2 linked regions of the Astyanax mexicanus genome follow. The protein of the gene in region 1 binds, or shares a complex with, the protein of each later gene. Links are inferred from orthologs where the notes say so. Each region holds a gene or a part of one and is shown in the gene's direction. Other genes may lie near its edges.

Evidence for each region.
Region 2: the proteins of metal transporter CNNM3 (region 1) and ptp4a2b are in contact, whole or in part, in a crystal structure (PDB 5K25), measured with the Homo sapiens proteins. The link is inferred for Astyanax mexicanus from reciprocal best matches to the Homo sapiens genes CNNM3 and PTP4A2. Residues at the interface, in NP_060093.3 of Homo sapiens: Leu390, His391, Phe392, Val393, Phe394, Asp396, Thr397, Glu405, Ala414, Gln417, Val419, Glu424, Gly425, Asp426, Pro427, Phe428, Tyr429; in NP_001356788.1 of Homo sapiens: Met1, Asn2, Arg3, Pro4, Asp69, Gly70, Cys101, Ala103, Leu105, Gly106, Arg107, Arg134, Arg135, Gly136, Ala137, Phe138, Asn139, Lys141, Gln142.

Annotation. Positions count from the first base shown.
Region 1 is NC_064427.1:525,774-537,692, forward strand, and holds the start of metal transporter CNNM3, read left to right. Parts: upstream 1-6,249; 5' UTR 6,250-6,540; coding exon 6,541-8,089; intron 8,090-8,951; coding exon 8,952-9,095; intron 9,096-9,362; coding exon 9,363-9,521; intron 9,522-10,440; coding exon 10,441-10,610; intron 10,611-11,447; coding exon 11,448-11,544; intron 11,545-11,919. UniProt on the Homo sapiens protein: Probable metal transporter.
Region 2 is NC_064410.1:46,848,325-46,860,363, forward strand, and holds the start of ptp4a2b (protein tyrosine phosphatase type IVA 2), read left to right. Parts: upstream 1-6,098; 5' UTR 6,099-6,214; intron 6,215-12,039. Other genes in the region: col8a2 (collagen alpha-2(VIII) chain), read left to right, coding at 1-1,054.

The DNA of each region.
Region 1 (11,919 bases):
CTGTATTTAAAACACCAGTTAGCTCATATGTATATATCCACTTATGCAAGACCAGCTACCTATTTCTATGAATAGCGAGAGACCAAAATACTCTAAACTAACCACATTGAGGGAAGTGCTAAGGGTCACTAAGAGTCGAATTACTATTTTAGTAATATGTTATAAATTACTGATAAAACTGGATCAAATTTGACTTTTTTGCCCCAAAAAACGTAGTGATTTTTGCACTTGTTCCTGCTGCTGCACTTACGCAGATCTCCACATTGATGGACATGTTCCAATCTAATCCGCCATTCTTTGTGCTGATTGGCTGTTTTTATTGATGGGCGAGACTTCTTCCATAAATCTAGTCTTCTCTAGACAGGTGTCCCATCACTTTTGGCCGTATAGTGTACGCAGTGAGGGCGCTGGGAACATGGTGCCCCATTGGGCACAATCAATATTTGTTATATAGAAAGAGATTGAGAGAGTTTTTATGTGATTCGTCTTTTTCGTAGAGTTTATCGTAGTTATACCGATATCGTAGCGTGTATATATATATATTTATATATAAATATATTGCGCGGTATATTGGTGCATTGGCTGGAGTTCGGACGCAGCTGTAATACGAGCCGAGGCTCTTGGGTTTATCGCGCTACAGTTCGGGATCTGTATGTTAGCGGTACCTGATAAAATGAGGGACATTCTCTTCGACGATGTTGTTGTTGTTGTTTTATTATTATGCAAATAGCTTTAAGAACAGGAAGTGGTTTGACGTAGTTTAAATAATAGACGGTACTTTTAGAGATTTTTATTATTCAGAATATTCACAATATTCAGTGACTTTCAGCCTTCGAGCAGAGGAGATCCAACCCCAGAACATAGACACTAGGTAGATCATATACTATATAAAAATATAAATATATATGCAATAGAAATAAATTATATAAATATATAAATATTTATCCATATTTATTTTTTATTGTTGCCTAAATTAAATTCAGTTCAGATGCATATGTATGTATGTTTGGTATGTTTGGTATGTTTTTTGTTTTTGTTTTTGTTTTTTGTTTATTTAAGGCCTCCTCCACACGTATCCACACGGATTTAAAAAAAATTAATGTTAAAAAATTTTAAAGCTTTTGTCTGTGTTTTGGCCTCTAGTTCACACAAAAATAGCTAATTTATTGGCTTTTTAAAACCGATGCATTTTTAAACACTTTTAAACACTGTTTTCATGAAGTTGCTTTATTAAAAGAGCTAACATCACAAAACATACACATTTATTATGGCTGAATCCCAAAAATCTCCTCACTCCCTATATAGTGAACTAAATAAGTAATAAAACTACAGTGTCTACACACAGAAATACACTAGATTCCAGATTTACATATATTAATAAATGAAAATACTGTTTTAGAACACTTAGAATCTGTAACTACCTGATTTGCTATTACTATTAGCGCCCCCTCAAGGCCTGGCATGCTAATGCAATCGCTTTTCTTTCATTGGAGCAAAATCATTTTAAAAGATATTCGGATACGTGTGGACACGGCCTCGTCAGATATAAGAGGCTACGATTGGCCGAAATTGGTCCAGTAAGAGATGTGGTAACCAGCCACAGTCCTTTCCAGCATATAACTGCATCAGTAGCACATCTGTAATCATAGTTTTACCATGTTATTGTCAGTTATAAAGACGTTTGTGAGATTTTTGGTCATTATTAGTGAAATGGGACGATTAGAGTCGATTTATTCTTCTGCGTGGAGTCAACTCAGAGTTTACGACATCGCCCGCGCAAGTAGCTTTACGCTGTTTTAAGTGTTTAGGTGTGTTGGACCAATCACAGTGGCTGTGTCTTGATTTGATGCAGAAGAATAACTTGGCGTTCAGAACTAAGAAAACATTCCAGACCTGTGATCCAGCCGTAGCTTTACTGGTGCCGAGACAGAATCCACTGTGAACTGAATTCAGCCTGTAGCGTTCTTCCCCAACACCAGATCAGAAGCTGGAGATGCTCATCAATTACAGTAAAGCTTCAATTTCCCTTTTTATTGCACTAGAACACAGTAGTGTGTGTGTGTGTGTGTGTGTAGCTTTAGCTTAGTTAAACACCATGACCCCATTAGTTTCTCTTTCGTTCCCACAGCAGACGGTGCTTCTCCTCCACTGCATGATACTATAACACTGCATGACCCGACTCAACTCAATTCAGCTTCTTTACTTTCCGTTCGGATGCTTTTACACTTTATTTATTCCTTTTAGACTTTTTTTTTACTCTGGTCCAAACCAAAGTAGCAGGTGTGAAAGGTTCCGTAAACCAAAGAACCAACAAAAGAACCTATATTTCATGTGAACAAAGTAGAGTGAAATAAGGGTTGAGTTCAGTCAAACTAGTGTGGAATCAGAGTCAGTCTGTGTTAAATTCGAGTCGCGAAAAGTCAAATAATAGTACAATTTAATCAAACTAAATTTGAGTCGACTCAAATAAAAGTCAAATATAAGTCAAGTTAAATCAAACAAAAGTCAAGTTTAAGTCTAATAAAGTCAAAAATTAGTTGAGTTAAATAAAATAAGTCAAATTGGAGTTTAGTTGAATCACATAGGAATCGAGGTCAATCAAACAAAAGTCAAGTTTGAGTCTAGTAAAGTGAAATCAAATTAGAGTTGAGTTAATTTAAATTAAAAAAGTCAAATTGAATCAAATAAAAGTGAAATAAGAGTAGAGTTGAATAGTTGAGTACAGTGCAATAAGAGTGAAATAAGACTCTAAGTTAGAGTTAAGTTGAGTAGTGTAGGTATCATGCAGTGGCAAAGCACCTTTATCCTGTTAATCAAATCAATATTCAGTATTGATTATTTAGGATCGTCTACATGCTGTAGTTCTGAGTAATAATAATAAATTCCCCAGTTTATACTCTGTACGCTAGTTTTCTCCAGCGATGTGTGCGAGTTAAACACCATGATCAGCTAAGAATCGCTCTAATGAACAGTGAGCGACGTTTTATTTTATGTTGACCATTTTCCGTTTGTTTGTGTTGTTGGTCAGTGTAACGGTGGACAGCAGTCCAGTCTTTATATAGTTTATATACCAGTTATTTATAAATATTATGTTGCCTTTATGAGAGGTTTAAAAGAGAAGCAATAGTTACGATAGTTATTATTATTATTATTATTATTATTATTATTATTATTATTATTATTATTATTATTATTATTACAGGGGTTAATTAACAATGTTGTACAAGGAAAGGACCGGGTTCAGATGTTACCTCAGTTGAGTTTGCATGTGTTCAAGAATTTACTTTCAGGTTTGAACCAGTCAAAAGTTTGGGCACACCTCCCCTTCTCATTCAATGTTTATTTTCTGTATTGTAGATTAATACTGAAGACATAATAACAATGAATTATGTAGTAAACAGTAAACAAACAGATTATAACAAACCATCCTCCTAGCAACACCTTAGCAACCAAAGCTATACAATAGCAACACTTTAGCTACCACTTAGTAGTAATGCCTTACCAACTGACTGCCAAGCAACAACACAGTAATCAACACTTATACCATAGCAACACCTTAGCAAACACCAAGCAACCAACATCAACACTACAGCAACAGTTTAGCAATCATTGCCAGAGAAACACCTCAGCAACCCCGTAGCAAAAAAATATCAATACAATATACTATAGCAATATCTTAGCAACCACCTAGCAACAATTTAGCAACCAATACCATAGCAAAACCTTAGCAAATTCATATAAAAATATGAAGGTGCTTTCCGTACTCTTTTTATTTCATAATTAACAGGTTTGATCATTTATAGTTAGTTCCGATGTTTTTAATATTAATCTATGATGTGGAAAATAAAAAAATCATAATAAAGAAAAGTCATTGTTGATTGGTGGGGTTGTGAAGGGGGTGTGTCCAGATTTTGAGTGATGGGTGGGAAGGGGGGGTTTGTGACCATGCATTTCTGCTCAAACTCAAGACGACCAAAGTTACCGCGCCTCGTATCAGATAGTTCAGAAACACTTCGGCCAAAGCCTTTTGCACTTTGATCTGTATCTCCTCCGTCCTGCGCCGTGACGACGGAGGCTCCGCCCCCTGGCTGGGTTTACGTGGAGGAGGGAGGGGCTCCCGTGGCTCAGAACTAATGAAATTCCTTCGGGCTCGGGGTCCAGTCTGCTAATCTGCTCTAATTCGCACTGCCGCTGTTCCAGAGCCAGGGTTTCACTCCCACACTCACCAGAGAGTTAAGAGTTGAGACTTAAATTGAGTTGAGTTAAGAGTTGAGTTGAGAGTTGAGTTAAGAGTTGAGTTGTAACTCGGAGCAGGACGGTTCTCGGTTTGATGATTAGTGAACAGTGGAGGTTAACGATTATGAATGTGGGAGAATTTTCCTCTGTGCGTAATTGATTTACTCGTTGTTTGTGCTCACGCTCGTTTGCGTGTCGTACATTAGCTCGTAGAAAAGCTCGTAGAAAAGCTAAGGGCTTGTCGTCCACCAAACAGCACATATAGTACAGCCCTCCTGGCCACTGAGGAACCACACTATTGCTAAGGAACACACTTGTCTTCCATGCACTTGCTAAAAAATGAATTTACCACAGCAACCCTTTACGTTTTTTTTTTTTCTTTGACAAAATAAAGATATTTCAGTTATAGTTTTATGGACAATGCTAATGATGATTTATTCATCTGGATACTCTTTTTTTTTTTTTCTTCTTCTTTTTTTTTTCTCCCTGAAACATGTACGTTTTATTTTTTCTGAGGGTTAGATTTGAAGTGGCTTTCTTCTTCTTTAATTTTTTTTTTATCTATGTCTATTACAGAGTTCGATTATTTGATTTATTAATATATGATCTGTGTTTCTCTGTTAAGGGAAGAAGAGTGTAACGAGCAAATGTACTGTACCTCCAGGTATCTTCGGTTGTTCTATTTAAAGCAATGTGTACATAGTGTTTTATAATAAATACTGGAGGAGTTCTGATGAAATATGACAATAAATCTGAGAGATCTATTTCTCTATAAAAAAAAATACAGTTCTCAGTGTATTTATTGTGTATGTATTAGATCTTGTTTAAAGCTACAAAAGTTTTTAATAAGGAAACCAGCCAATAAAAGCTTTCATTAACCAACAGCTACTGTATGACAACACCTTATCAACCACATAGCAATACCTTGCAAACAATGTAATAACATAGTAACCACCTGGCAATATCTTAACAACCAACATCCATACCAAAGCAACCAACAGGCATACCATGGCAACACCTTAGCAAGCAACCTGTCACCATATCAGAGAGAGAGAATTTTCAAAACTGTGATATTTGGAAAAGATAAAGTATTGGGACAAAATAGAGAACTAGTATTTCTGACTAATAAAAAGTCCAGCCTCATATAAAAATTAATTCAGACTAATACTAATGATAATTGAACGTATTGATAATGATTTTTTCCCCGACAAAATTAAAAAGCATTATAGATGTAAGACAAGGGTCTCCAAACTTTTCAATAGGGGCCACCTTGGGAATGGTGAACAAGTGATTCTTATATTAAACATTAAATTCCATTTTAGTCCAATAACCAACACAAGAAAATCTATCAGCAATCACTAAATGCTTTCCTGTAGATAAATTCCAGTCAGAGAAACTAATGGCTATTTGTTTTTGCTTCCATAACACTGTTGCAACCGATCACTGTACATAAAACTTAAACATAATTGTGAGCCATTAATAATGTATTTTAGAGTGATGCAGAGGTTAAAATACCAGTAGTCTGCAGTGGTCGGGTGAAATATTTTACAATGTGATGGTTGAGGTTAAATGTACGAACAGTGTTGCTGGATTAAGTTAGGTTACACAACTCATTCTGTTCCTGCAGTTCTGCACTTTATTCATTATTACTCTGTCACATACTGGACTATCTCTGCACTTCCACACACACAGATATCAGCGCATCTATATAGCATTGTATTGTTTTATATCCAGTAACATTAAAATATATATCTACAGTACAATACCATATATCAATATGACTTTGGTGTGTATTGTGTGTATACTGTGTATTATATTATTTTATTATTCTACTCTATGTTGTAAATATTTTCATTTGCACACTAGTGACAATAAAAATATATATTGAATTTTGAATATACAGTGTTTATATTTCACTCTGACCTGACTCGACACGCTCAAACGGGGCGGGGTTTTCTTGTGTCGTTCCTTTTTCCAATTGGTGGCTAACAATGCTGTAATCTGATTGGTCGGGTGAAGCATTCGACGTAGATCCGCCCGAGAAGCGGAGAGTTGAGGAGCCCCGGTTGTTGTTGTTGGGGTTGCGGAGAGCGGGCCGCCGCCGTACCGGGGGTTAGGAGTCCCCGAGCCGCTGGAGGAGGAATCGGTGTATTATTATCGTGTTTTTCCCCGCCCCGTGTTTCGCCATGGCTCCGCCGGTGAGGACGTTTCTGCCGCTGTTTTCCGCGGCGGTAGGAGGGTGACGGTAGGCGGGCGGGGGTCACATGATCGGCGGGGCGGAGAGGCGAGCTGCCCGAATCCAATATGGTGGTCGTGCGGCGGTCGCTGCTCCCGCTGCTGCTGCTTCTCCTGATCCCGCTGCTGCTGGGGGGCAGCGCCCAGAGGCTGGTGGGTCTGCGGCTGGAGGAGGTGCTGGAGGTGCAGCAGGGGGGGCAGCTGCAGGAGGAGGCCGGCAGGCGGGTGTACATGCGCGGGCGAGTTCTGTTCGCTGCTCCGGGGTCTGGATTCAGGCTGAGGCTGTTTGGATCTGAGCTGCTGTTTCTGGTTAAAAATAATAATGTTATTAATAATAATAGTAATAACAATGCAAGCTGGCCGTGGCTCGCGTTCGCTCGGGAGGCGGGAGTGGAGAACTTCAACTCCCAACCTGGACCACCTCCTCCTCCTGCTGCTCCTGCTGCTGCTGGTGCCTCTGGTTCTGATGGTCCTAGTTCCAGTCCCGGTCCAGTAAAGGAACAGGAGGAGGACCCATGCAGGCAGGAGATCCTGAGGAACTCTTCTATATTCCGTGTGGAGGGGGAGTTCTCCGCGGATGAAGACAGCAGCGGTGTGCTGGAGGTCCGCACCGCGGAGGGGGACGCCTCCAGCGCGGGCGCTCTGCACCGGCTGTGTGTGCTGAGCGGGCCGGGTTGGGAGTCGCTGGGGGCGGATAGATTCCAGCTGAAGGCGCCGGAGCCAGAGCTAAAGCCTGAGCCAAAGCTACCCCCAGACTGGATCCCTACCTGGGCTTTATCGGTAATTATAGCAGCCTTGGTGTTTATTTGTGCTCTGATTCGCAGTTTAAGCCTCAGTCTGCTCTGTCTCGACCCCCTCGAGCTCTACGTGCTCCACAGCTGCGGCGCGGAGGACGAGAGGCGGGCGGCCAAGCGCCTGGAGCCGCTCCGGAGACGCGGTAACTTCCTGGTGTGCTCGCTGCTCCTCCTGACCGCGCTGGGTCACTCCGCGCTCGGCGTGCTCCTCTACCGGGCCTTCGGCTCCATCCTGCCCGCGGTCTTCACGTGTGGAGCCCTGCTGTTCCTCCTGGCCGAGCTGCTCCCGCACATCATCAGCTCGGGCTACGGCTTCCACCTCGCCCCCGGTCTGATCTGGCTGGGTCAGGTGTGCCTGGCGCTCACCTGCCCGCTCACCTGTCCGCTCGGCGTGCTCCTGGACGTGGCGCTGCGGCGCGACGTCAGCACGTGCGGCGTGCGCGAGAAGGTGATGGAGATGGTCCGCTCCAACGTCAACGACCCGTACAGCGAGTTCGTGAAGGAGGAGTTCCGGCGCGGCGCGCTGAGGAGCAAGACCGTGGAGGACATCCTGACCCCGCTGAAGGACTGCTTCATGCTGCCCTCCACCGCCCAGCTGGACTTCGGAACCATGTCCGAGATCATGCAGAGCGGATACACGCGCGTGCCCGTCTACGAGGAGGAGCGCTCCAACATCGTGGAGATCCTGTACGTGAAGGACCTGGCCCTGGTGGACCCGGAGGACTGCACCCCCATGACCACCATCACCAAGTTCTACAACCACCCGCTGCACTTCGTCTTCAACGACACCAAGCTGGACGCCATGCTGGAGGAGTTCAAGAAAGGTGAGGCGGTGGGACCAACCACAGGTGTGCAGAAGTGTTTGGATACCTGGGGTTGTGTGGTGTTGCATTCAGTAAAGATTACTGAGGTAGTTTGAGATGTTGGAGATTTTGATGATGACCAGACAAAACAAAACAAAACATGGCAAGATAACACAACACAAATGTAATAAATACACTGCCTGTCCAAAAATAAGTAAATAATCTGGACCTGATGCTGCAGTTTGTCTGCAGGTTTAGGTTCAGCAAAGGAATATACTGAATATAGACCAGGTTCTTCTTCCATCAATGGAAACCATCAGGTTCTTCCATTAATTTTTCTTCATATTCCAAGATGAATAATATCAGGATTGATGGTGCTGGAATTGTGAAAGAGTTCAGGGTTCAGGGAGCATGAGATCATCATTTTCACACATGGATTGAGAGAGAGTTCACCACAGAGTCCAGATCTTAACCTCATTGAGAATCTTTGGGATGTGCTGGATGGAGAAGAGCTGCTTTGTGCAGTGGTCAGACTGCACAGATAAAAAAATTAATGCAAAACTGGATTGAAATAAATAAATCTTGTGACGTTGCAGAAGCTTATTGAAACAATGCTACAGTGAATGCAAAGTCACACAATCAAAGATAAAGATGGTTCAGCTAAATATTAGAATTTTTTTTGTTGTTGGAAACTTTTTCTTTGGCCAGGCAGTGTATCGTACTTGTGTTGGGCGGAAATCACTTCATGCATAGAAACACACACTCACACACACAAAAATAGTTGAATATTGCATTTATTAGCAGGAGTGTCCACAAACATTTGACATAAATAATGAAAAAAAACACTGTTGGCTGTAATTTAGTTTTATTTCTTTTTTTCTAGGAAACTCTCACCTGGCTATAGTGCAGAGGGTGAATAATGAGGGGGAGGGAGACCCGTTCTACGAGGTTCTGGGACTGATTACTCTGGAGGACGTTATAGAGGAGATCATAAAGTCTGAGATCCTGGATGAGTCTGATGGCTACAGTAAGTATAACCTGTACATGTGAAGCTTAGAACAGAGCACATCTACTGCCTGCAAAAATCTGATTTGTGTTGTAAAGCTATGTGGCTGAGCAATATTGAAAAAACAATGATGTATATCCAATGCCGTTGTTGAACTGATAAACTGTACATCTCAGTGTGTAGTCATAAAGCACTGAATAAAGCGTGAGTTTGTTGGGTCAGTGTGTGGTGGTGTGGAGAGATGGTGTGTAGAGTGTTTCTCTGATGGAGTGTCTTCATGTCCTGCAGTGAATATGAAGGTGAAGCGTCCCGCCGCCGCGCTGGAGATTCCTCTGGAGCCTCGCTCGAGTCAGGAGGAGTTCTCGCTCTTTAAACCACCGGAAGGAGAACCCAAGATCCGCACGTCTCCTCAGCTCCTGCTGGCCACACACCGCTTCCTCTCCAGAGGTGTGGAAACACTGAGCTTCAGCTGGAATATTAATTTAATTGAATAGATTAATTGAATTACTTTACATACAGAAGCTGCAGAGTGAATCTTAGTAAATAGACTAGATTTACTTCTGAAAACTTGTAAAGAACTCTCTTACATAACAATGATTTTCATATTTTTACAAATTTCATTATATTTAACTGAAATATGTGGAGGTTATGTGCTGTATTTTTCACACTTTAAGATGCTCTTAATATCTTAGTACAGCGTTATAAGGGTGAGTTTTCAGTGAAGTTTCTCCAGCACTAAGGCTGGAACAGTATTAGCATTAGCCGCTAACCATAGTGCTAGCTCTTTCGCTGTACAGAGATGAGTTTAGTAGACTGTAGTCTGCATGTTTACGCATTGTAGTTTCTCATTGTAGCACTTTTGGGTGGCATTAACTAGCGCTAAGCACTGCGAACCATGGCTAGCGCTGCTGCTAACTGCACTGTTATATATTGGAAATGTAAGCTTGCTGTAAATAAAAGGAAGCACTTTACATACACACATAAATGTTTTTTGCTGAATTAGAAGGGAAGCATGGTTACACCCATGTTCCTTACTAGTGCCACTTGAAATGCACCTTATAATCCAGTGTGTCTTATGTATAAAAAAATAGATCAGAAAACAGATGTTTGTTGATAATGCACATTATAATGCAGTATGGCACGCATAATATGGCACACCATGTTTAGTAATAAGCAGTCTATAAAGAACAGGTTGAGTAATCCTGCAGCTCCTCAGTGTTCTTATCTTTAGCTCTTATCAGTTCAGAATTGCAGTTTAGACTCTTACAGAATACAGAAACACAGATCTGCGTTTCTCCTGCAGTTTATGAGTAATAAAAACACAGTTATGATTATTAATAATCCTGTTTTTTCCTCTCTGTTACAGAGGTGGAGCATTTCAGTCCACAGCGAGTTTCAGAGAAAGTCTTATTTCATCTCCTGCGGCACCCGAGCGTCAACCAGGAGGTGAAGTTTGACCCAAACAACCGTCTGAGTCCAGATCATTACCTCTACACCCGGAACCACCCTGTGGATTACTTCATCCTACTGCTGCAGGTAGACCCGCCATAATTACCCACCTGAGTTATTTTACAGTATAGGAACAAAACGTCAGAATTAGCTTCTGGGGCTGGGTATTGTTTTAAAATTAAATTCAGTACCGATACCCAAATGATACAGGTCTATAGCAGTGTGTGTAATAGTGTGTATAGTAGTGCAGTGTGTTTGGTGTGAAATCATGTAGTTGAAGCAGAAGCAGAGGGGTTTGTTCACTCTGCTGAAATGTTTGAGTTGTTAAACTTGTACCAGCATGTCGTCTCAGGTCGCAGCTCCAGCAGGAGGTTAGCAGGACCTCGGCCTCTGAGGGTTGTTGAGTTACTTTAACAGGATGATGAAACGCCTCAGAGTTCTCAGAAATCTGCTGTTGTTTTCAGTAACTGAAGTTTAGTGCTCAGAGTAAATGTATTTTATACAACCTCTATACAAACTTTATGAATATGAACTTGTTTTCTTTGCATTATTTGAGGTCTGAAAGCTCTGCATCTTTTTTGTTATTTCAGTCATTTCTCATTTTCTGTAAATAAATGCTCTAAATGAGAATATTTTTATTTGGAATTTGGGAGAAATGTTGTCTGTAGTTTATAGAATAAAACAACAATGTTCATTTTACTCAAACATAAATCAAATCAAATTTATTTATTTATTTTGTAAGGTGATAATGATGTATTTTAATGCAGATCTGTTTATCTGCTCTAAACTCAGAGCTGATAATATAGTCCAGTCAAACACATTCCAGATCTTTCCACTGCAGTGTGTGTTCTCTACTGTCTCACGCTGTCTGTGCAATAACACACAATAAAGTGTGTGCGTGTGTGTGTGTGTGTGTGTGTGTAGGGTCGTGTGGAGGTGGAGATTGGTAAAGAAGGTCTGAAGTTTGAGAATGGAGCTTTTACTTATTACGGTGTATCAGCTCTCACAGCTCCCTCCTCAGGTACGTACTCTATACCACTGCCAGGTAAAGAGAATAACTGAATAAAAGCATATTCAATTATTTAGTAAATAAAAAAAGTGTTACAAACCAGAATGTTTTATATTTTACATTATACAGTTAACAGCTGTGCTGAACTCGTCAAGAGATAATAGGTTTGAAGAGGTAGAGTTACAGGTATACAGTGAATAGCTCTATTAGAGTAATGTTTGAGCAAAGACCATTAAAAACATTATAATGGTGAAACTGGCACTCATCAGGACCGTCCCAGTAAAGGTTAAAAGAGTGAGTGTTTCCTCTGTTGTACAGGATAAATTTATCAGAGTTTCCAGCCTCAGAAACCACAAGTTAACAAACAGCTCCTCAGATAAGAGTATC
Region 2 (12,039 bases), on another chromosome or scaffold:
TGGGCAGCCAGGACCTCAAGGTCTGCAAGGTCCAATGGGTCTTCCAGGAAAGCATGGCATGCCTGGTCTGAAAGGAGAATTGGGTCCTCAAGGGCCTCCAGGTTTGCCAGGGCTCAGAGGAGATCAAGGTCCCGGTGGTTTGCCAGGAAAGCCTGGTATGCCGGGGGATAAAGGGCTTCCAGGGCCAAATGGAGCCATTGGAAAACCAGGGCCTAAAGGCGAAGCAGGTCACACTGGTTTCCCTGGTAATCCAGGCTTGATTGGAGTACCAGGTCCCAAAGGAGAAAATGGTTTTGTTGGGCCCCCAGGACCACGTGGCCTATCTGGAATTCCAGGTCTACCTGGACCAACAGGACATATGGGACCACAGGGCATTCCTGGGTTGAAAGGGGAACAAGGTCTACCAGGGCCACCAGGAAATGGAAAGAATGGGGACCAGGGATTAACCGGTCCACAGGGACCGCCAGGAAAACCAGGCCCTCCTGGAATAAGTGGTACTCAAGGCCCTCCAGGTCCTCCAGGTCCTCCTGGCCCTCCGGGCCCAACTAACGGAGATACAACAGTGGCAGGGCTCCAAGGTCCTGATATTGGGGGAGAAACGATAACAAATCCAGGTGCTGGAAAACCACAGTTTGGTGTCGGTGAGCTTTCTGCCACAATGGCTCCAGCATTTACTGCCATCCTCACTACACCTTTCCCACCTTCTGGTATGCCCATTAAATTCGACAGGACTCTGTACAATGGACAAAATGCTTACAATCCCACTACTGGTATCTTCACAAGCCCACTGCCTGGAATCTACTACTTTGCTTATCACGTTCACGTAAAGGGAACCAGCCTGTGGGTGGCACTGTACAAAAACAATGTGCCTGCCACATACACCTATGACGAATACAAGAAGGGTTATATGGACCAGGCGTCAGGCAGTGCAGTGTTGGAGCTGAAGGAGAACGACCAGGTTTGGGTGCAGATGCCATCTGACCAAGCAAATGGGCTTTACTCCACCGAGTACATCCATTCATCCTTCTCAGGGTTCCTTCTGTGCCCTACATAACAGTTTATATGATCCATCGTTTATTGTTCCAGCGCTCTGCGGTCACTCAAGTACCACCTGTAACATCGATAACAGGAAAGACTGAACACCAGAAAAGCCTAGATGAAAGCAGGAGATGGAAACTTTATGCTGTGTCCATGTTTTAGCCTTTTCAAATGTCTGATTTGATTTTTGTTTTCCTTCAAGTGTTTTTGGTATCTTCAGCCTATATTATAATGTTATTATAACTGTTATATTATTATTGTTGCTGTTGTTGTGTTATTTTAATTGATGTTGTTGTTTATCGGAATCAGACAATGTGTAAGTAACAGTTTTACCCATGTGACTGCACACTTTGCCAAATGTTCTGACTCCCATTGAACTCCATTTCTTTCGACTCTGGGGTTGTGTGTTCCCCTGGCTGCAGTCACATTCAGCTCAAGCTCTTATTTTCAATCATTTTCAACAACATTTCCTCTTTACTACCCTGACGGTTTTAAGTTTACTCTAGGGAGTAAAGTCTTAACTCTAGGCCAAATGTCATAAAATATGTTTTGTTTACTATGTGTTACAGTTACAATTTGTTGCTAATGTGCCTAAATCAGTGATATACGTGGAGAGTATTGTCCTTATCCTTGAAGTGAAAAGTTTTAGAATATTATTTTGAACAGAAAATCAGTCTGAAATTCTAGTCTGAAACATTACAAAATAATACACAAGTATTATCTCCCTGTATTGCTGGCATTTATATATTTTTAAGAAGATATTTAGATGAACTGTTAATGGATTAACTGTCTGAGTGTAAAGACATAATGAACTCTAACCTATGCATTTGATCACAGTATGTTCAAAGGTCATTACAGTTCTGAAACTTATATTGTACTTAACATCGTATTAAATAGTGGACATTCATTTTTGAATGTTTTAATCATCTACACACTTAATTCCATTTAAGATTCTTTGGTCATTCAAATTAGTTAAAGTTGAACATCAAGAGCTTTTTTCCAGAACTTGAAGACATGGCCCATGTCATGTGAACTGTGTCTTTCGCCTTATTGAACATTTAACAAATTAATTACTGGGCATTGTGCACAACATCCCAGTTTATTATTCAGATGTTCTGTTCATTGCTTTCAATGCTCGCACAAAGAAGACTTGATCATGAATTATTCAGGCAGATATTGAATGATTAGTTCATAGTAATGAACAGATTAAATAAATGCACTGGATCTGTCGAACAAAAATGATTATTGCAACTCATCCCTATTTGTTATAAAAGGTTTTCAGAAACAAATAAGAACATGCATATGCAGACCGTAACAATGAACACAAAATTAATTATTGACCCTGAGTTGGCTGTAAAATAAATTGTCGAGTTGTTATTCCCAAATAACCCCTGAATTACCCATTGGGTTTGTCACGTATTGCAAAATTGAGCCAAAATGTTGCTGTTGTTTCATCTGGTGCTAGTGATATCTTAAAAGAAGCGTTATATTACAACTACATCATTCATAAAGCTGGAATTACTGTCATAACAAACTGATTCCAAAGTGTGCCAACTGTGGTGATATGTAACAGTTATTCACCTTTTATCCCCTTTTGGCTGTTCTCAGTGTAGCCAGTCAGCAATTCTTCATTGCTTTTCTCTGTTGTTAAAATATTTACCTCCCCCCAAAATATTACTGCATTTAAGACAAGAGCCAATCATTTCATCTATCCATATCCTATAGCCATTTCCATTAATTTTTTCACAGAGAGCTTTGATTTTTAAAATTTGATTCGCTCCATCTTTAATGTCAGTATAAACAGAGGCTTTGAAATCAGCGTATATATTTTTAAATGAAATCAATAAAAAATTGTCAGGTAGATTCATTGTACTGTTTCCCCTCAGATCTGCTAGACTCGGTTTTCCTTTCATTTTCATGCCAAGAAAATTCTTGCTTCGGTTTGTAAGGGATATTTGTTTGTTACGGACAAGATAAACACAAACAACCCGTCCCATTTGCACATTAGCGTAATGAAGGTGTATTTATACTGTACATATGTGATGAATCAGCAAGAATGTCTGCCTACCGAAGCGTCCATTGAAATAACGTACAAATAAATATATATAACAGCATTGACAAGTTACGAGTATTGTAGTTAGCATACTACCGTCGTTAAAGGAATATTTTGTCGACCTTTACTTCTTTTATTTTTTTTGTATGTACTACGTATCAGATTATAGGGTTCTGTTTTGGTTGTTTGATGTATACAGGGCTATTGCATTTATGCTGTGCAATAGACTTTGGGTATTAAATGCACTCTTTTGACTGAAAATGTTTTGTCAGCTTATAAGAAATCTGCAGTACTTGATAGTATTGATACAATATCAATAAAGATTTTCTTGTACAAATACTGTATATGTTGGTGTTCTTGACTGTGACTACAGTGTTCTATGTTAGCAGGTCATTTTAACCTATCAGCACCTATGTTCACTGTGAATATTTACCCATGTTTGCCTTTTCTCAAGATATCATTATCTTTATATTTGCCTGCCAAAAATACAGCATGATAAACTGTATGCATCATAACACTCTGTTTTCTGGGGATTTCATTAGAGGGACAAGACAAAAAGAACCTGTATTGCCAGCCGTATGAGTTGACTCAGCACAGATAACATGCCCATGCAGGGCCTTTATGGGTAGCCCAGCTGGGAAACAGAATGTTTTGTACATGGGTGATATGTTGGCCCAGCATATTGTTGCTGTCCAATGAAAAACATGTATCTCCAAAACAGCAACATTACAATAGAGGGATAAAACCTTCTTAACTTTAACTTTGGAAGTCAATGTAAATAAAAAGTCATGTACAAACCCACTCAGACTTATGCCCACCCGAAACCCACCTAGCTCACATTCCACCCATGTAAGCCCAGCATGAGCATGCAGGATGAGAGGTTACCTCTAGATACTCAGTACTTCCAGAAAATAGCAATACATATAATACACATAAATACGTGTAATAAACAGAAAAACATCTAATATTACATTTATAACAGTTGAAGCCACGTGATATATTGAACATATTGAACATACTGAACATCCTTCAGTCCGCATCGTGTATCTGCGTGCTTCATGTGTTCCAGTCACTAGAATGACTCACACAGGCCTCTCTCTCTCTCACACTGTTCTCTCCTACTGTATGTGTGTAACACGTTTTCATTCAGACACGCTGTGCGTAAACCCGTATCAGACGATCACTGGAGTTAATAGAAGACAAGGTCCTATAGAAGAACTCCGTCAGTACAGTTTAGGAGATAATTATAACTCCTATTCGTGGTCACTGTCACACTCCTCCCCGGTGAGACATCACCAGACTGTCAACGGGCGCTTTGCGTAAACCTGACGTCACGTCGCCTCCGGGTAGACCCTCCCCTTCAGTTTCAGCGGAGAAGCTGCCGAGGATTCGGTTCTGTTCAGTTCAGCCAAACGATTCTTTCGAAAGAGCTGTTTTAAAGAGTCGAGCATATGATTCACTAATTCACCAGCCAAGTCTGACCTGTAATCTTAAATAGAATATGAATGAATATGAACAGGAATACATATATATGATAAATAAGGTGAGTGTAACAACTTGAAGTAAAAAAAAAAAAATGAACCTGTATATAAAAATAGATATATACAGTATGGGTTTAAATGTTTGTAAACGTCCCTCATAATGAATACATTCAGATACTAACTAAGTTGCATCCATTGTTGATACAGTTGTTCAAATGCACACATGCAAACATGGGATGAGGTAAGGTCTTTAAAATAAATTGGGAGTTTGGGATGAGTTAGGGTGTTTGGGATACGTTCGGGGTTTGGAATAAGTTGGAGATTTGGGATGAGGTAGAGTGTTCGGGATAAGTTGGGGGGTTGGGAATAGGTTGGGGATTTGGGAAGAGGTAGGGTGTGTGGGATAAATTGGGGGGTTTGGGATGAGGTAGGGTGTTTGGGATAAATGGGGGTTGGGAATAAGTTGGGGGTTTGGGATGATATAGGGTGTTTGGGATAAATGGGGAGGGTTGGAATAAGTTGGGGGTTTGGGATGAGGTAGAGTGTTTGGGATAAACTGGGGGGGTTGGAATAAGTTGGGGGTTTGGGATGAGGTAGGGTGTTTGGGATAAATTGGGGGTTGGGAATAAATTGGGGGTTTGGGATGATGTAGGGTGTTTGGGATGATGTAGGGTGTTTGGGATAAATTGGGGGTTTGGAATAAATTGGGGTGATTGGAATAAGGTGTGATATGTTTGGTGTTTAGGATAAGGTGGAGTGTTTGGGATAGGTTGCATGGCTTGGGATAAATTGGGGTGTTTGGGATGAGGTAGGGTGTTTGTGATAAATTTGGAGGATTGGGATAAATTGGAGTGTTTGGGATGAGGTGGCTCTTGTCACTAATTTTAATCCCCACAGCAATTCTTCAACATCTAGAAAATTTGGTAGAAGGCCTTCTCTGGACAGTAGAGATTGTTGTTTCAAAGGATGAAAATCCTTTTTTTCTAAATGTATTGAAATGTAAATTTGATCATATTATATATTAATAAAATAAATAAAATGCAGTGTTTACTCTAGTTCATTTTCATGGATTCAGGTGGCTAAAATATTTTTACAGTTGGACAGAATAAATGAACAGTTCTAATAACATTATGCTTTTTATATCAACTAAGCAGAATAAGCCACTGCTTTTGCAGGAAAAACAGTAAATGAGCAATTCAAAAAGAGATTTTACCTTTAATTTTCACAACATCAGGTGTATTTGTGTTAGTGCTTGGCCTGGTATACTTCAGTTCTTTAGTTGCATAGGCCCTACAATTGAATTCACAAGTTTCTGTATTAGTAATAATACCAAAATACATTTCCTTTTAATATTTTATTTTTTATTTATAACGTTTTGGTTTGTTCATGGGTGGTTTGAGAACCACTGGGTTAGAAAATGCTAGAATAGTCGATAGATTCATTTGGCAAGTGTGAGTCGGTTCGACTCATTGAAAAGAACCGATTCAAATCTAAGCTTCAGTCTCGAGTCCGGAGGTCGCTACGAGAAACTCACTTTTCAGTGTGAAGTGTGAAGAGGAAGGAGAGCCTGCAGAGCGGTTACCGACTCCGATCCACTTTCTCCGGCGATTCTCACGGGATTTCAATGTTCAGCCTGTTTTTTGTAAGTAGCTGTGACTCATTACTCACAGGATAATATGTTTGAAAAGTGTTTAAAGGCTGTTAATGTTTTTTTCTTTGATAAAGGCAAACTGTTGTTCAGGAGCCTTTGTGGCTAGTGGCTAAGTTAGCTAGCGTTAGCTAAGAGCTAGCCTAGGTTAGCCAGCTCGTATTAACAGTTAGTGTTGTCTATTATAGCCGGACAGCTAAAGTGCCTGAAGAAAGCCAGGCGGGTCAGCTTGCTAGCTTGCTTGCTAGGTTAGCTAAGATAGCTTAGCACACTAGCTAACATAGCTTGCTAATGCTGAAATGTGGCAGCCATTTGCGCGAGCACGACACGTTTTGGAAGCGGCAGATATTAATCTAAGTTAGCTGACGGTCCATTTAACCTGTTTTTTGAGTAAATAATGACTGTAGTTTGTTATAAATAAGATGACAGTGTGGTGTTTTCATGCTGAACTCGTTTATTAATGTCTCTCTTTGCCGTTTAGTCACAGCATTTAATCTGGCTAGTTTAGGTGGTTACCTAGCTAATGTTTAGGAGAGGTGTCATCAATCCAGATCCAGGAAACGAAAATCCACCCCCGGTATTTTGCTCTAACTGCCTGTACGGCTTTTGTGTTGCTGCTGCCTAGCGGTTCGCAAGGCAGTTGGAGCAAAATCACGGAATGGATTTTTACTTTCTAAACCTTGATATATGCTGGAATGTGACAGTATATCCACTTTCTTTACAAATAGTGTTTTATTTAATTTAGTTGATGTTTTTTTTTATTTATGATGATTTAAAATTGATTCTATTCCAATTCTAGTGTCTGAGTGAGATAGTGGATCATAGCCAGATAGTTAATTGTAATGTGTACATTTATAACTATAGTAGCTATAGTAGCTAGCTATTATGTTATCAGTAACTTTGCCAGTGGCATGAAATGTCTTAATATTACAGTTATTAAATATAATCAAAAATAGGTTATTGTGACAGACACATGGGTGGATTTTGAGTTTCTGGACCTGGATTGACCAACGTTGCTTTTTAGCTAGCTTATAGCGACCTAACCATGCGTTCTGGTGTTGGCTAGAAAATAGCTGGAGATACTGGCTTGTATACTTGTGTGTACGGATTAAATTGGAGTATTTTCCAGTTCTCGATCACGTTTTCGAGGTTAAAACATCTAGTAAGTCCGTGTGAACGACTGTGACATCGCAGCAGCCGGTTAATAACGTTATTTCCAGCTAGCGCTGGCTAGTGCTTGCTAAATAGCTAGCTTCAGCTAACTTGGCTTACTGAATCAGATGGCTTGTGTCCTCACCCTGTTGTTCGCAGACATACTAACTAACTAGCTTAAGTAACGTTAGTTAAATTAGCTTGAGTGAACCTAACTCTGGCTGCCTGTTAAGTTAACTGATTTGCTAGGAAAACTGTCAATGTTTCTGAAATTAGAAGAATTCACTAGTCGTCCAAACAGCAGGCTACCTAGAGAAACGAAGCTAGCTAAGATAAGGTGTGTAGAGAAACAAACATCACGATGTTCTTCCTCCGTCTCCTCTCTTCTTTTTGGCTTAACTCAATAGTTAGCTATGCGGGAACACCCGAACAGCGCCCAATTTCCCTCGGTCTTCTTTCATCCTCGGGAACACAAATTGCGAACAAGTGTTGAGGACAGACATGCCCGGGCATGAACAAGGGCTTATTGCTATTAATGAAGAGCTGAAGCACAAGATAAGGCCTTGAATACAACACATCTAACAGCTATGTTATTTATAACGGGGTTATAAAGGTAAAATGTGATTAGGTTTGATAGGTTTTGGCTAAGGATACTAGACCAGCTAGGTACAGTTGAACACCAGCGAACTTAAAAGTTCTCCATACAGATAATAAAGGTTAGCCTTCCACTGTTTGGTTAATCAGAATGATTATAATTGCATTGCTCCTTAAAAAGTTATTTGTAAATGTATTATTACACTATTATATTATCATTATATCAGTGGCAAGAAATATCCGCAAAAGCAAAAGTATCTAAATATGATTTTTCTGCCTTGATAGTACTGGGCCTTTGCATAATGCATTGTCCTGGTATTAACAGAAAGTGTTTTGTTAACCTACTTATTTGTGGGCACATTGCACTGTGTTTTGTGTGGTTTGAGTCATTGGGACGGGGTTGTGAAATTGGCAAATGAATATCCCAGGCCCAAATGCCAGGTGGCCTATGTAGGTGTATTCTATGTAGGTGTCTTGCTGGACACTGTTTTTGGGTAGCTAAAGATATGTTTTATCCAGGCAGGAACTAAAGCAATACAAAACACGTGTATGTGAAAAGTACTGGGCTCTGTCTTTTTCCTGATATGTTCTTTAAAGTTTCCATTTCTTCTGTTTCTTGTAGTCTGGTGTTTGGCTTCTATGGGTTTTTGTTACCTCTTTTTTTTCTTTTCTTTTTCTTCAGCCTGACCAGTCGTTCGGGGTGTATTTACATTTTGCTTTGGTGGTGCAACTGGAAATACAGTATAACTGGAAAGAAAACAACAAAACATAACACTGTGGAACAGCAAAATCTACTTAAACATTTACTCTTGTCTTTGGGGTTTTTGCTCACCTGATTGTATTTAGTAAGAGGCTAGAAATGTTAACCTGGCAACACTCTCTCAACCCATGTGCGCTGAGGTTCACTATTAATTTATTGCTAGATTAAATCTGTGGAACATATAGTGTTAATTTGTCACAAAGAGGAAGCTGTACAGTGTCTTTTGTGGTTAAACTTGGACAGACCCTGTTTCTAGAAGTAAGAAAACTAATTTGTAAACTTGCCTAAAGTTTAAAAGCATAAGCCTTCATAAATCATCAACTTGGCATTTAACAGGGCACAGAAATGCTGTGCATTTTAAAAAGAATTTGGCATGTAAGAAGAATAGGTGAAAAGTCTTTGTGAAACAAGGCAAAATTTCTCACTTGAGTCAATACATTAAATAAGTAGCCTTTAATTAAATTAAGTAATGACTCACTGGGCTTAGCTTGAGCGCATACCGGTGTGATGAGGTCATGGACCATAGCAGGCTTCCACATGATGTTCACTACCAAAAACATGTTGAACTAGCATGTGAAAGAACAACAAACATGCAATTCAGGGCTATACCATCAATTTTGTTTTTTTTAAAGAGAAAATTTTTTAAAGAAAAATTCACAATCTAAAAAAATTCCATAATGTATCTACCAGAGACAGGTTATATATTTGATATATATCTGATATATTTGATTTTGTATACGCAGATTGCTTTATCACGATCAACATTATTAATAAAGACCAAAAAGACAAATGAGGTTTGTCTTAACGTAGGGTGATTTTATTACTGTAGTTCTAATTTATACCAAACTTAAACTTTCCTCTTGTTATATTTTCCAGTTTGGTCAGCAATATCAGTATTTTCATCACCACAACGAAAAATCATAGAGATTTTCATAGAGAAAGTTATCATAGTCACTGGTCCCTGGGACCCTGCTTACATTTGTTACTTAATGTATCTTGAGTCTTAGAATTATATCTGAATATGGTCAAGTCACATAAAAATGCAATATGCTTTTAAAACATACAAGTCTCAAAACACTAGCCAGTTCAGGTGGTTATCATTTATGCATTTGAGCCATGTTATGGCAGTGTAAATGCAGTCTCCATCTCCATGCAGAATGCAAATTTGCATATTTCATTTCACATAGAGATATGACTTTAGTATCACAGACAGTACTCAAGACACATTTGACTACCAAGTGTGTCTGGTTAAACTCTTATCTGGATGCAGTCACACATGTTTAGGTGTTAACAGAAGGGTCCAGTATAGTGAAAAAACACAGATGGAAAATGACACAACTGGACACTGAAAGAAAACATCAATTCCCCCATCAGTTAAAGTGGTCCTAATTATCAGTTTTTTTGCTGGTCTGATTGTGTCAGCTATGAGTTGAATGTACTTGCAAGAAGGGGTGCCCAAAAACAACCTGGCCCTAAGTGCCTGGCCCTAAGTAGCTCTAATAGACAGTTGTTTTGTTTTTTAAGTTAGGGTTGTTGTTGTTGTTGTTTTTTTTTTTTTTTTTTTTAAATGAGTTCCAGTGTTACTGTTATTAATTTAAAATATCTGATTATGGTTTTACATTATTAATAAAAACATTGCATTCTGTACTCTTGAAAAAGAAACTGTGATATCAGCTTTACAAATTCTCTGATTCTTTCAACTTCAGTCAGCAGTCATGGGCTCCTCTAGGCAGCTTCCCAGCACATATCAGTAGAAAGACATAAAACTGTAGTTTGTAATTTAATCACCTGATGTCAACTGGAATGGTGGAAGACTAATCAAAGAAGACTAGAAAGACTAATCAAAAGTGTTTCATAGCAAAATACCTTCTGGAGGATAAAGTAGTGTGATGGCCTTACTGTACTCAAAGCAGTACGCAACTGGCAAAGGCATTTCTTTCCCTGGGATTACTGGAAGAATACCTGTGGCATGATTAACTGGGTAACACTTTTAAAAGTTTTAACCACATACTTATGTTTCTTGTTGAGTATTGCTTGGGTTTGAGTTTTGTTGTACACAGACGGGATCTCATGGACTCCTAACAGAAGCATTCTGCACTCATCTTTCAGTATGTTTTACAACTGTGGTCTACTGCCCCTGGTCCAATGAATGACATGTATAATCCAGTTTATGGTTTACTTTCACATTATAAACACAGCAGTAGACCATAAAGACAAATGAGGTTTGTCTTAACGTAGGGTGATTTTATTACTGTAGTTCTAATTTATACCAAACTTAAACTTTCCCCTTGTTATATTTTCCAGTTTGGTCAGCAATATCAGTATTTTCATCACCACAACGGAAAATCATGAACCTACAAATCCCATTTTAATATGCAACTTAACACATTGACTTCCTTTTTACTGCCGCATTTCTGCAGACTTTACAAAAGTATTCTCAGGACTATTTAGCTCTGAAGTACACATCTATTCTGTATTCTTTATTTAGGATGTGGTGAAAGGATGTATATCAGCCTTTCAGAATTGGTCTGATATTACTGTACTGCTTTTTTAAACAAGCTGAATTTGACACCGTGTGTGCTTGTTAAAGTTGTTCATGTAAGTGGCAGCTTCGTCTTTACAGGAAGTGGCAAACTTTGTGGCATTTGCAAATCGTCTGCTTGCGTACAAATACGGTTTGCATTGCCACCATAGCTGAGCTTTTTCGTTGAATGTTTTGTGCTGGTATACTAGTGTGCATTTGTAGTTTTTTTTTTTTTATTATTAAGCCTATATAGTCTTTCTGCTCTTATATATTATGCAAAGAATTCAGGTAATTTCTTGAAGTTTTATCTAGAGAAAGTAATAGTCAAATCAGCAGTCAGCACCTGTAGCTATCTGTTTATTATTGCTGCTTTAAATTATTACCGCAATGTTTATTTTTTAATTTAGTCGTATTCATATTATATCCATTACGTTATAGTTTATAAAATATAGTTTTTTTTTTTATTATTTTGTCCCATTACTTTTTTAGTCCCAGTTGGTTCATATTTATTTATCATGTGTCTGTCTTTAAAAATCTGTATATGTATCCTCTAGGGGTGGGCAATATTGTGACATATACAATATATCGTGACACAGAAATATCATGATATAAAACATCCATGTCGTGATAATAGGGATGCTCTGTCTTAAAAGTGGTCTATTATTTACTGTGCGCTTTAATTGTATTTATCGTATAATTGTTTTAGTTTGTAGTTTATATGCATGCACTAAATATTCTGCAATATCTTTTGCTGCATTATATTATTTTATGCTATTATTTATTTTGCCA